Neurospora crassa OR74A: one gene and its partners. The main gene of each other region encodes a partner of the protein of the gene in region 3 in a complex. Links are inferred from orthologs where the notes say so. Each region holds a gene or a part of one and is shown on either strand. Other genes may lie near its edges.

What was found.
Region 1: NCU08296 (region 3) and NCU03827 share a complex: the UniProt entries of both Saccharomyces cerevisiae proteins name them as parts of the mitochondrial small ribosomal subunit. The link is inferred for Neurospora crassa OR74A from reciprocal best matches to the Saccharomyces cerevisiae genes NAM9 and MRPS9.
Region 2: NCU08296 (region 3) and NCU02951 share a complex: the UniProt entries of both Saccharomyces cerevisiae proteins name them as parts of the mitochondrial small ribosomal subunit. The link is inferred for Neurospora crassa OR74A from reciprocal best matches to the Saccharomyces cerevisiae genes NAM9 and MRPS8.

Annotation. Positions count from the first base shown.
Region 1 is NC_026505.1:2,536,288-2,540,035, reverse strand, and holds the start of NCU03827 (mitochondrial 37S ribosomal protein MRPS9), read right to left. Parts: upstream 2,439-3,748; 5' UTR 1,807-2,438; coding exon 951-1,806; intron 824-950; coding exon 732-823; 3' UTR 1-731. Other genes in the region: NCU03826 (elongation factor 1 gamma domain-containing protein), read left to right, coding at 2,670-2,699, 2,795-2,981, 3,250-3,298, 3,356-3,748. UniProt on the Saccharomyces cerevisiae protein: Component of the mitochondrial ribosome (mitoribosome), a dedicated translation machinery responsible for the synthesis of mitochondrial genome-encoded proteins, including at least some of the essential transmembrane subunits of the mitochondrial respiratory chain.
Region 2 is NC_026501.1:8,605,674-8,609,140, reverse strand, and holds NCU02951 (mitochondrial 37S ribosomal protein MRPS8), read left to right. Parts: upstream 1-1,108; 5' UTR 1,109-1,543; intron 1,544-1,639; 5' UTR 1,640-1,899; coding exon 1,900-2,385; 3' UTR 2,386-2,838; downstream 2,839-3,467. Other genes in the region: NCU02950 (hypothetical protein), read right to left, coding at 1-160, 228-394, 472-509; NCU02952 (hypothetical protein), read right to left, coding at 3,102-3,467. UniProt on the Saccharomyces cerevisiae protein: Component of the mitochondrial ribosome (mitoribosome), a dedicated translation machinery responsible for the synthesis of mitochondrial genome-encoded proteins, including at least some of the essential transmembrane subunits of the mitochondrial respiratory chain.
Region 3 is NC_026504.1:2,502,291-2,506,038, forward strand, and holds the start of NCU08296 (mito ribosomal protein S4), read right to left. Parts: upstream 2,372-3,748; 5' UTR 2,183-2,371; coding exon 2,138-2,182; intron 1,950-2,137; coding exon 1,470-1,949; intron 1,368-1,469; coding exon 531-1,367; 3' UTR 1-530. Other genes in the region: NCU08295 (RNA-binding La domain-containing protein), read left to right, coding at 3,298-3,561, 3,626-3,748. UniProt on the Saccharomyces cerevisiae protein: Component of the mitochondrial ribosome (mitoribosome), a dedicated translation machinery responsible for the synthesis of mitochondrial genome-encoded proteins, including at least some of the essential transmembrane subunits of the mitochondrial respiratory chain.

The DNA of each region.
Region 1 (3,748 bases), on a different chromosome or scaffold from region 3:
ATCCTTACAGTCCCCCAGGGCCCTCGGGCGAGGATGCTGAACACGGATTGCACTCTGCCGCCACGGGAACGGAATCTGAAGTTCAGAAAACGCGGTTCTGACAGCGCGGCTAACCCACGTGTGCCCTGCAGTGCGTATCGTTCCCACCTAATCTGTGAGATGGGAGTTGTTCGGCATGCCTCTTACACATTGGATGTAACCCCCGGATGGTTCATGACTTGTAGTCGCACGAATCAGTCAACCCATCACAAGCAAAACCCATGTCAAAGTTGCAGTGATGCCGGTTGAAGAGGCCGGGCGTCGAATCGGTTTGCATACCTTTTTTTTCCATGGCAAAAAGAACCGTTGTAACCCCCCCAGCACACACATAGATTGTATTATACACACACAACAAGGTCGTGCCGGCCCCCCCCTAACACGGTTTGTTGAACCCCTCCTGTACAAGTACACGCGTGCTTGCCTGAGATCGACCTGTGCTGAACTTGGTAGGCCCAGGCGAGGCCACAAGCGAGACGGACACTCACATGCATATCCACATATAGAGTACGCACATGAGAGAAAATGCTTCCCAGAAAGAAAGGAGCTGTGATGCTGCGCTGGTGGGGAAAAAAAGCATCGCTCCATTTGACTGGTCGTTCGTGCATAAACCGAAACTGAGGCAGCATATTCACAATGCCCCCCCAAAAAACGAAACCCATCCAATAATACCGCAAACTGTAGCAGGAGGGCGATTATCTCTTGACCCAGGTAGGCATCTTTCTGGCCTTGACATGGCCGTGTTTCTTTCTTTCGACCTTCCTCGGGTCGCGTGTGACACATCCGGCTACAGTAAAAGAAAGAGGGACTTGTTAGCAAAGGTGCATCATCCCTACCTACCATACCGCGAAAGCCTGTATGGCGAGGCACAATCATAGAAAACCAAAACATGTGTAATGTAGTGCGAAGCTTACCCCTTCTTAACGCCGGCTTCAGAGCAGGCTCATGAGCCAGCAAGGCCTTTGCGATAGCCAGCGTAATGGCCTCCGCCTGACCCGTGGTACCACCACCCTCCACCTTGACCCAGACGTTGTACTTGTCAATGCGATTTGTTGCGCGCAAAGCCCAAACAGCGCTCTCGCGATCGTGAACCCGCCCAAAGTACTCGGCCAAGGTCTTCCCGTTGACCAGAACCTCGCCGGTACCCTCCACCACGAAGGCCCGAGCACTCGAGGCCTTTCTCTTGCCGACTCCACAAGCGCGGCCAAACTGGTCAATCGGGATCGGCTTGGCGACATTTGTAAAGGGTTGTACGTTGCGCCTGAAGCTGTCGAGCACATCCTTGATCTCTTGTGGCTTAAGGTCGGGGTGGATCGAGTTGAGCCGTTTGACGAGAGCCAGACACCTTGCGAACTCGGATGCCTTGACCTGCTCGCCGAGCTCTTTCCTGATATCCTCGAGCGTCTTCCAGGCCACGCGCTCGACGGCGGTCGCGGGGATGACAGGAAGGTCTTCGTACTCCTCCATGAGCTTTTCTAGGGAAAGATAGTTGTCGTAGAACCGGGGCGTCCGGGTGAAGTACGAGGGCGACACGGGGACGGCACGGGCATAGGGATGGAGTTTGAAGTTGTCTATGCTGAGCGCAGGGGCGGCGATGAATTGGCCATCTACGTTCGGGTTGTGGTCGTGGGCGTGGGTGGACAGGGACCTCGAGCTGATGCGCAAAGCGCCGAATTGCTGGTCAAGCGACTGCCATTGCGCCGACTTGGAACAGCCCTGGCGGGAGCTCCGAAGAGCACTGGTAATGCTGTGTCTAAGAGATGCCATCATTCATAAGCGGCTGTTCACCTCTCGTACATTATCGGGCCCCGAGGGCTACTGGATCGGGAGAGGAGTGGGATTGGGGTTCGGGTCGAGGTGTGGTCGGCTCGCCGATGGGTATCTTTGGGGCTGTCGGGGGCGAGGGCAGGTCCAGCGCGGGCAGTGGTCAATCAGGTCCGGACTCCGGGTCCCGTCTGCGCGTCGTGGGCCGTCCCGCGGCGGAACAATTCGCAAGAGGATTTTTCCACCCGGCAAGCGGAAAATGGGAGCTCGGACCACCCATGCTTCCCACTCAAGCACCGCACTCACTGGACCCGACCTCACCTGGGCTCCCGTCACCTTCCCCTCCACGCATGCGGCCCCGACAGGGGGACCATTCCGCCCGGCAGGCAGATAAGACAAGATGCCCGGCAATCAAGCGGCACCGTTTTCCATGGGCTGGAAGCCTGGCAGCCATCAAGGCATGGCACGAGGGAACTGAAAGCACAGACAGCGGAAGTGTGAATCACTGGCCGAAAGCATACCTCGCTAGGTACCATCAATGGAATCCCATCTGGGCAGCCTTCCACAGCCGCCAACGGGCCGGCGGGCGGTTAAGGTACTGAGCTCTCTCATGCATTCTGTCGAGTTCCAGCGCTGTGAGGTTCTGATGTGAGGGGAAGCAACCCAGCCGCCAAAACGGGATGCAGGCTCAGCAGCCAGGCAATTTCCCCGCCACTGCCGTGGCCGCGCGCATGCCCCACCACAGATAAAATTTCCTCTGTGTCTTCCCATCCACATCATCCATCGCACAGATCCCTTTTTATTTGCTTCCCCGTCACCCCTCTTCTTCCCAAACCCATCTTTCCTCATCATTGATCAAATTATCAAAGATGGCCTTCGGAAAGCTTTACACCTACGAGGTAAGATGAGCAGAATTCAGAGATTGCGGCGCTCGTCTTGACACGGCGGGCGCCTGCGGACGAGCGCCGACATTCTAACAGATTCTGCTCACTAGGCGAACCCCCGCTCCACGGCCATCTTGGCTGTCGCGAAGGCCAACAACCTCGACCTCGAGGTTATCAAGGTCGACCTTGAGGCTGCCATCGAGGAGTACAAGAAGGTCAACCCTCTCGGCAAGGTCCCCACCTTCGTTGGTGCCGACGGCTACACTCTCTTCGAGTGCATCGCCATCGCCATCTATGGTACGTTGACAGAATATGTTGGGCGTCAAGCAAGACTGCCCTGCCCCGCACTTTGAAACACGCATCAACTTTGCGCCAGATACCCTCTGATGTGCTAGCGCACAACCCCTTGCCCCTTCGACCTGATGACCGAGACATTTTTCAAACAGTTATCCCTATCTGAAATACGGTGTTGACTTGGTTCTAACTTCTGACTGTCGAACTCACTCTTTGTCCTCCTGCAATTGCCACGTATCTTGATTGGACAGTCATGGCTAACGGACAACAGTCGCTTCCCAGAACGAGAAGACCACTCTCCTCGGCAAGACCAAGCAGGAGTAAGTTTATGATCGAGCATCCAAACCTGTGCAATCACTTGCTAACGCGTGGTTCAGCTATGCCTCCATCCTGAAGTGGCTCTCTTTCTTCAACACCGAGGTCCTTCCCCCTCTTGCTGGCTGGTACCGCCCTCTCCTTGGCAAGGCTCCCTACAACAAGAAGGCTGTTGAGGACGCTCAGGCTACTGCCCTCAAGGCCATCTCTGTCGCCGAGGCCCACCTCAAGAACAACACCTTCCTCGTTGGCGAGCGCATCACCCTTGCCGATCTCTTCGCCACTGGCATCATTGCCCGCGGCTTCGAGTTCTTCTTCGACAAGGCCTGGCGCGAGCAGTACCCCAACGTCACCCGTTGGTACACCACTGTCTACAACCAGCCCATCTACTCGGCCGTTGCTCCTCCCTTCGCTCTCCTTGATACCCCCAAGTTGACCAACGTCGCCCCCAAGAA
Region 2 (3,467 bases), on a different chromosome or scaffold from region 3:
AAGTAAATGTCGAGCGAGTGAAGCTTGTAATGGTACTTGGCCTGATTGTGAGGGTCGTATGTTGGTAGATGCCACTCCTCGTAGCCCTCGACCTCGCCAACCGTCAAAGTTACAAGGCAGGTGTGGTTGTAATCGTACTCGAGATGGGTTTTGTCGAGGTCTGGCGACACATGATGTTAGCCTTCCCACTGTCGTCTCGAGCTCTCACTCTAAATCCTAATGCTTACAGCCATCGAAAGCATCCTGGTCTTCCCTTCCAGGTTGGTTCGCAATCTCCAGCCGTGCGCGGCCCAAGTTGGCATCTTCGAAAAGGTATACATAGGAGCCCTTGTCGAACCTGTGATGAGGCGGGTTATTTGTTGGAGGGCCGTAGAAGTAGTGAATATCACCAAAGCTATGCAGCGAATCAATCAGTCAGAATGCGCCCAGGAACTATCACCTCTTTATGGGATCAACGGAAGACAAACTTACAACGTGCCGACGTTCTCCTCTCCCTCACGGGCGGCCATCTTTTGTGATCAACGAACTCGCTTGAGTGAACAAACACAACAACACAACAACGGTAAAAAGGATTGAGAGAACTGAAAGACAGCAAACTTTCTCAGCTTCCCACCCGAGGGCTATCACGCCTAATATCAGAGATGACGGAACCCAAAGAAAACAAAAGCCACTCGGCTTCCGCGTCTTTGCGATAGTACCCTACCTCTTACATACCCTTGCAGGAGACCGTGGTCTGGTTCTTCACATTCGGCTCTCACTCCATGGCGCAATCAGCACACAGCCATCCAACCAGCGCGCACGATAGGTCGGTGATGCGACCCCTAGTGCCGGTAGAGGTGACCTTGCCTGGTGGTTGCATCGTCCTGGATGGTCACTGGATGGTCCGCCTGGGCGCTTAAGGTGGGATGCCAAGAAAGAAGCACGAGCAAGTCAATTGTCACACTCTCCAGTCCTTCTTTCACAATTGACGAGGAGGGAAAGGAGCGGGAGGGAAAGACAAGAAAAAAGGTGGGGTAAGCAGGATCCATCCTCAATAAACCTGGAGAGCTACCAAGAAAGCCCCACCGGACAGACACCTTCTGGTCTCTCTGGCGGAGGGACGGGAGGCCTTTCAGGGCAGCAGGGGTCTCTTTTGCAGTGACTTTCGTGCAAGGCACAGTGGAGGTCATTGCCCGAGGTCATTCACTCTTTCAACGCTCAGCCTGAGGTCTTTTCTCGAACCATCCCTGTCCGTCCTCCACACGGCCCCGGCGGCCAAGCAAACGCACGCACGCCCGCCAGCCCGTACGTAGTGCCGTACGGCAGAAGCGGACAGAGCAGCAGGGGGACAAAAAATCGGCAGCACAACTTACCTAACGGAGCCATCCCGATCGAGACCTCGAAACCGCAATTCGCATCCGGACCCCGTTGCGCGCCGCATTCGCGAGTCCCGAAACCTCCACTTGTTTTTACGGCTCCTCCGAAGTCCGAATTCCTCCATCACGACCACCGACCCGTGACGGCCACCCGACTGTGCGCAACAGCTACGGTCTCCCGATTGGTTGTGCGTTGCAATCTTCCTTTTTTTTTTTTTTTTTTTCTGTCCCGCGAATCTTCATCGGCACGCCTAGACTAACCTCAAGACGCCCCGTCGCTGCAGCACCGATTCCTCACCCGCATCATCCTTCTCTTCATCCCGCATCATCCTTCTCTTCATCCCGCAAGGTCCCCAGTTCGCCGCCGCATCTCCCGAGCACTTCTACACCGGACGGACCAAGCCATACCAGCCGATCGACCCGACGACTTACGCGACGACGGCCGACTTCTCTCTCTTTATAACCCATCACCCAGTGCATACCATTTTCTCTCTCTCTCTTCAGCAACACAAAAGTCCCACACGGGCATCATCAAACCTTCAAAATGGGCATTCAACAAATCACCAACATGTGCTCGCACCTCCAAAACGCCTCGCGCGCTCGCCTGGGCCTGACCTCCCTGCCCAACACCAAGTACAACCTCGCCCTGGCCCTGGCCCTGCACCGCGCAGGCTTCATCTCCTCCATCACGCGGGGCGGTCCTCACCCGCCCACGCCCGAGGCCCTCATGACCTACGAGCCCGAGCCCGTGACCAGTGCCAACGTGGCCACGCGCCGGTTGTGGGTGGGACTCAAGTACTGGAACGAGGAACCCGTCTTGAAGGAGCTGAAGCCGATTTCGAAGCCGTCGAGGCTGGTGACTGCCTCCCTGGAACAGCTGAACCGTGTGGCGAGGGGCTTTCCCGCGGGATACATGAAGGGGTTGCAGTTGGGCGAGTGTTTGTTTGTGAACACTGATAGAGGTGTGTTGGAGGTTAGGGAGGCAGTGGAGAGGAAAGTTGGTGGGCTGGTTTTGTGCAAGGTAAAATAGATGGGTAGAAGAAGAAGAAGGAGGAGGGTCTCAAGGATGGACGGTGGGGATAGGACATGAATTCGGTGAAAGGAAGGCATTGTTGGGAAGGAAGCGAGAGGAATAGAAGAAGAGGAGGAAGAGTCACCGCACTTTGGGAGGATCTCAAACCTGAACTGGAGCCAACCATTTCTGTGCGCAGTGTACGATACGGATGTGATTCCATTGTACACTAGACGACTTAGCAAGACTGGACAAACATGGAAAGGAATAGACATTGGCAAAGCAGAGCTCATCCTTGGTTCTTGCTATGTGAATATGAGGTATGAGGCCAAGAAAGACAACGAGCTGGCATCCTGTATGCTATGATCTATGCATGACAACTAAATCATCAGCACTCACCGTGGAAACAGATATCACCAAGATTGATAAGAAAAGGGATCGATTCATCCTGCTCCAGGGTGCTGTACAACCCACTATCTGCTATGCATTCATACTTCATGCTTCGCCAACTTTCTTACAAATGTGTGATTGGTCTTTCTACAAAGGTATCATGAAATGTGCTAACCCAGTAACACTGCATCCCCCTCTTTCACTGTCTCGAACAAGTAATAGGGGTGATTAAAAAAGACTCTACAGGCCAAAAAGCGATCACATCCACCATTTCTGGCTTCCTTTTACGAATCAGAAGTGTGCTTAAATTCCGAAGTGCTGGCAGACTTCTCCTCGCCGTGCTCCTAGATGTCAGCATCGGTGGTATCAACAACCTCGGCAGCGGACGAGGGGGCGGCTTCAGTCTCCTGGGCTGGCATCTCCTCCTTAACAACATGAACGTCAGAAGTGGGGGTTTGGGGAGCTTCCGTGGCTTCCTCTACCGGCTGAGCAACTTCTTGAGGAGTCTCCGTCACAGTGGGGAGGGGCACCTCAACAGCTTCTTCTGCCTTGGGAACCGGCTCAGCCTTGGCCGCAGCTGAACCAGCACGAGACTGTTTCGGTGTCGTAGCCGCAGATGGTGCTGCAGATTTAGTGGCAGGTTTTTTGGTCCGTGGCTTGCTGAGACTTCTCTTCGCGGCAGGTCCGGGCGTGGCCGATGACCTCCTGGG
Region 3 (3,748 bases):
TCTCATGACTTTCTTACGCAAAGAAGAAGGAAATTTGTCTATGCCCCTCTTTATATCCATTTAGTTAATAGTGGTAATGATACATGTAGCGTACATCGATGCCGAAGGGGGCGAACTGAATGAGTCTGCAACAGATTGTTCGGGTATTGAGGAACGAACAAACTGTTACGCGCAATGTGCCCAAAATACGTATGAAGTCAACTCATCTCATGCATGATCCATCCCCGTCTCCTTTTTCTCCGGGAATCGCGAGATTTGCCGCCCACTTCGCAGCTTTCTCATCGAGACCGAACCCGATTTCCAACGCATGGTCCAACTGAAGCCGCAGCAGGTGCAGAGTATCACATCATCCGAGGTTGCCTTGAAGATGCAACAAGCACAATAGAGCGTACCCGCGACATGCAAAAAACTGGGTGCGCGCGACTCTAATCGTCCATTGGCGAATTCTACCGCTCTGAGACGGCAGAGAGTGACTGCCGTTCCTCCCTCCATCTCCCCTTTTCATTCCCTCGCTCCTAACTAGACCTCCTTTAACCTCTCCGTAAGTACCAGTTGAACGCGAGTTGGTTGATAGTGGGGGAGAAAGGCGACGGTACTTCGGACTCGCCCGGGCGCGCCACGGGGTGGCGGAGGTAGACGGCCGCGCAGATGTTCTGGTTGACCTCAAGGTAGCGGGGGATGAACGCGAAAGCGGACATGTAGTTGCGCGGCCTCCAGGGGGTCATGTACGGCTTGCTCGGGTCGATCTCGTTGTCCTCGTGCTCGTCGTTGTACTCGATCACCTTCTTGAGCACCTGGCGCGACTGCTTGTCAAGCTTCTTGCTCAGCTCCTTGGCCGCCTCCTCCTGCTGAATGGCCTTGGAAGGGGAGACCGCAAGGCGCTCGAGAAGCATCGTCAGGTCGTCCACCACGTTACCGGTTGGCGAAACGGACCCGTCGCGCCGCTGCGCTTGCTTGATGGCGGCCTTGATGTCGCGCTTCAAAGCGCGCAATGCTTGCTTGCGCGTCGCGGAGAGCTGGTGAGACGGCGAGTCGGCGATGTGCTTGGCGTACTGCAGCAGACGTTGGAGCTGCAGGAGTTCGTACTTGCGGTTCCAGGCCTCGTCGAACTTGGAGGTGTCGACTTGCTTCTCCTTCTTGCCGGACTTGGAGGCTGCTTCTTGTGCCTCTCCTTCCTCGGCCTCCTCGGCCTCCGCATCCTTCTCTTCGGCGGCTTCCTGTGCTTCCTCCGCAAGCTCCTTCTTGGCGGCCTTCATAGCCGCGGCGAGGAGCTTCTTGTCCTTGGGCGCACCGGTCGCATAGAGGACGCGCTCGACGTCGACTTGGAAGAGATCGCCAGGGTTCAGGAGGTAACCGGGGTGTTTCATCTGCAAAAGGATCGGGTAATGTTAGCGCCGAAACAAGCAGCTTTGGCATGGGTGCACTGTATTGTGGGATTCGGTATTGGAACGTTGTGATGGTGTACATGCCTTCTTGCCGTTGACGGTGACGGCACCGTGCACAACCATCTGGCGGGCCTGTCTCGCACTGCTGGCAAAGAGGGCTCTGAATATGGCGATATCGAGGCGTCTCTCGAGAGGCGCAAAGGTCATTTGCTCGTACGGCGTGGGAACCTTCCTGCCCGGGTTGGCGATGACTTGCTTGGCAGGTTTCTCGTCGGCGGTCTTCTCGTAGGCTGGGGGCTCTGAGAGGCCGGAACCGCGGCCGGCGGCTTGTTCGCTGCCGTTATATTTGGCCATGTATGCCGGGTCCATGTTGACGACGGCCGGTAGGCGACGGCTAAACATGCGCGCCCATTTGCGTTCCTTGATGTGCTCGCCGTGGTATGCTCGTGTCAAGGACTTGGCGAGCCATTTCTGCTGGAAGAATGTCTTGCCGCTGATTCTGGGTTCTCTCCCGGCCGTAGCCAGGTTGTACAGGTTATATTTGTTCCATGTCGGCCTGATGGGCTATTCGGAAGAAGAAGAAGCGCACACAAAATACGTCAGCATGATCGCGTGTGGTGGGTGTTGAGTGTCGTGGCAATGGGACTGGCAGGTAGTAGGTAATGGGGCGAATGGGGTGATGATGCGGCGGCGGCGACGATGACCAACGGCAAACCCGGCGACGGCGGCATAAAACACCGAATAGCACATACCTTTTTCTTCAAACTGTGGTACTTGAACAACCTCCGGATCTTCATGTTGGGTGTGGTGTGTTTGGAGGAGCTTCGGGGGATCGGATCGGACTGTAGGCCCCGTGCTTTTGGCGAAGTGGACGGACCGGTTCGGCGCAGGTTGTTTGGAGATTGTCGAGTCCGGAGCGGTCCGGGGCACCTAGCAGCACTGCCAACGAGGGGAGCTTCCCGGGGCCCTTCCACCTCTTATCGGGCGCCGTCCTCCGAAAATTATTTCAGACCCGAATTGGAGCACGCGCTCGCCCATTGGTCGCATTCACGTGAGAAGCTCGGGCCACTGTGCGCGTCAACTCCAGGCCGGATGGTGGAGAACTGGCAGGCACAGGATGCGGGAGCTAGAGCGCATGCGGTATAGCTCCGCAACCTCTTGGCGGATTGCGGGTGCAAGTGGAGTGGGGCTAGAAGCAGAGCCAGGCGGTAGAAATCGGCACAAAAAGTCTAAACCCAAAGGCGGTTCCCTTGGACCTGGGTGGGGCTGATTTGGTTGCTTGCTTGGTTTCGCCGCTTCCATTTTTTTGCGCTGAGGGGGAGGTTTTGACAAGTGCAGTCCTCGATATGACTCCAATGCCGACAGACCCTGGAAAAAGTCAGGGCAGATGGGTTACGCTGCTGTATGATGATGGAGGGAGGGAGCTCAGTAATGGATGGACAAGACTGAATCAAACTCTCGATCTTTGACAAGGGAATTGAAGTGTGTGTTACAGTTCAGAATTATCGAGGTCCTACCTGACTTACACTACGTGACTACCTCTACACTTCACACACGTCCTGGGATTTGCTGGTGAATGGCCGACTTTCCTGTCGCGTCGATCAACAATCAACCCTGCACCAACCCAACACCATTCCCCCACTGCACCCTGCAATAACATTTTGCGCCTACCGCCCCAAAACTGGAGTGCACCTGAAGGACCCACTAAATAATTTCGTCGTTTTGCCTGCTTGGTCCCCGGTCTCCAGTGCACTTTCTGCATTTTCATCATCCGTTCACCATTATCTCTCTCCCGGCCATCTACATCCATTCTTCTCTTCCGTGCACGCGCGTCACGTTAGACGGTCAATTGCCTTTACAGCCGCTTGTACTTTACCCTTTCAAATACCTACAGGCCACTCCGACCTTCATCATGAGCGATACCACCGCCAACACTGAGGCTGCGCCTGCCGTCGAGAATGTTCAGACCGAGGTCCAAACCGAGACTGTAGAGGCCCCCGTCGCGGAGGCTGCCCCCGCCGCCGAGGAGGCTCCCAAGACTGAGGATGCCAGCAAGGAGGAGGAGAAGAAGCCTGAGGCTACCAAGTCTATCGACCGCGCCGACTACAAGAACAACAGGAAATACGATCCTTCGACCCAGCCCGTCACTGACGATCCCGTCAAGATCCGCAACCAGGTACGATCAGACTACAAAAACAGTTGGCATGCTGCGTGTCCCCGTGTCTAACAAATAGTCTTAGGTCGAGTTCTACTTCAGCGACAGCAACCTCCCTACCGATAAGTTCATGTGGGAGACGACCGGAGGCGTGGAGAACAAGCCCGTTTCGCTCAAGACCATCTGCAGCTTCAAGCGCATGCAGATG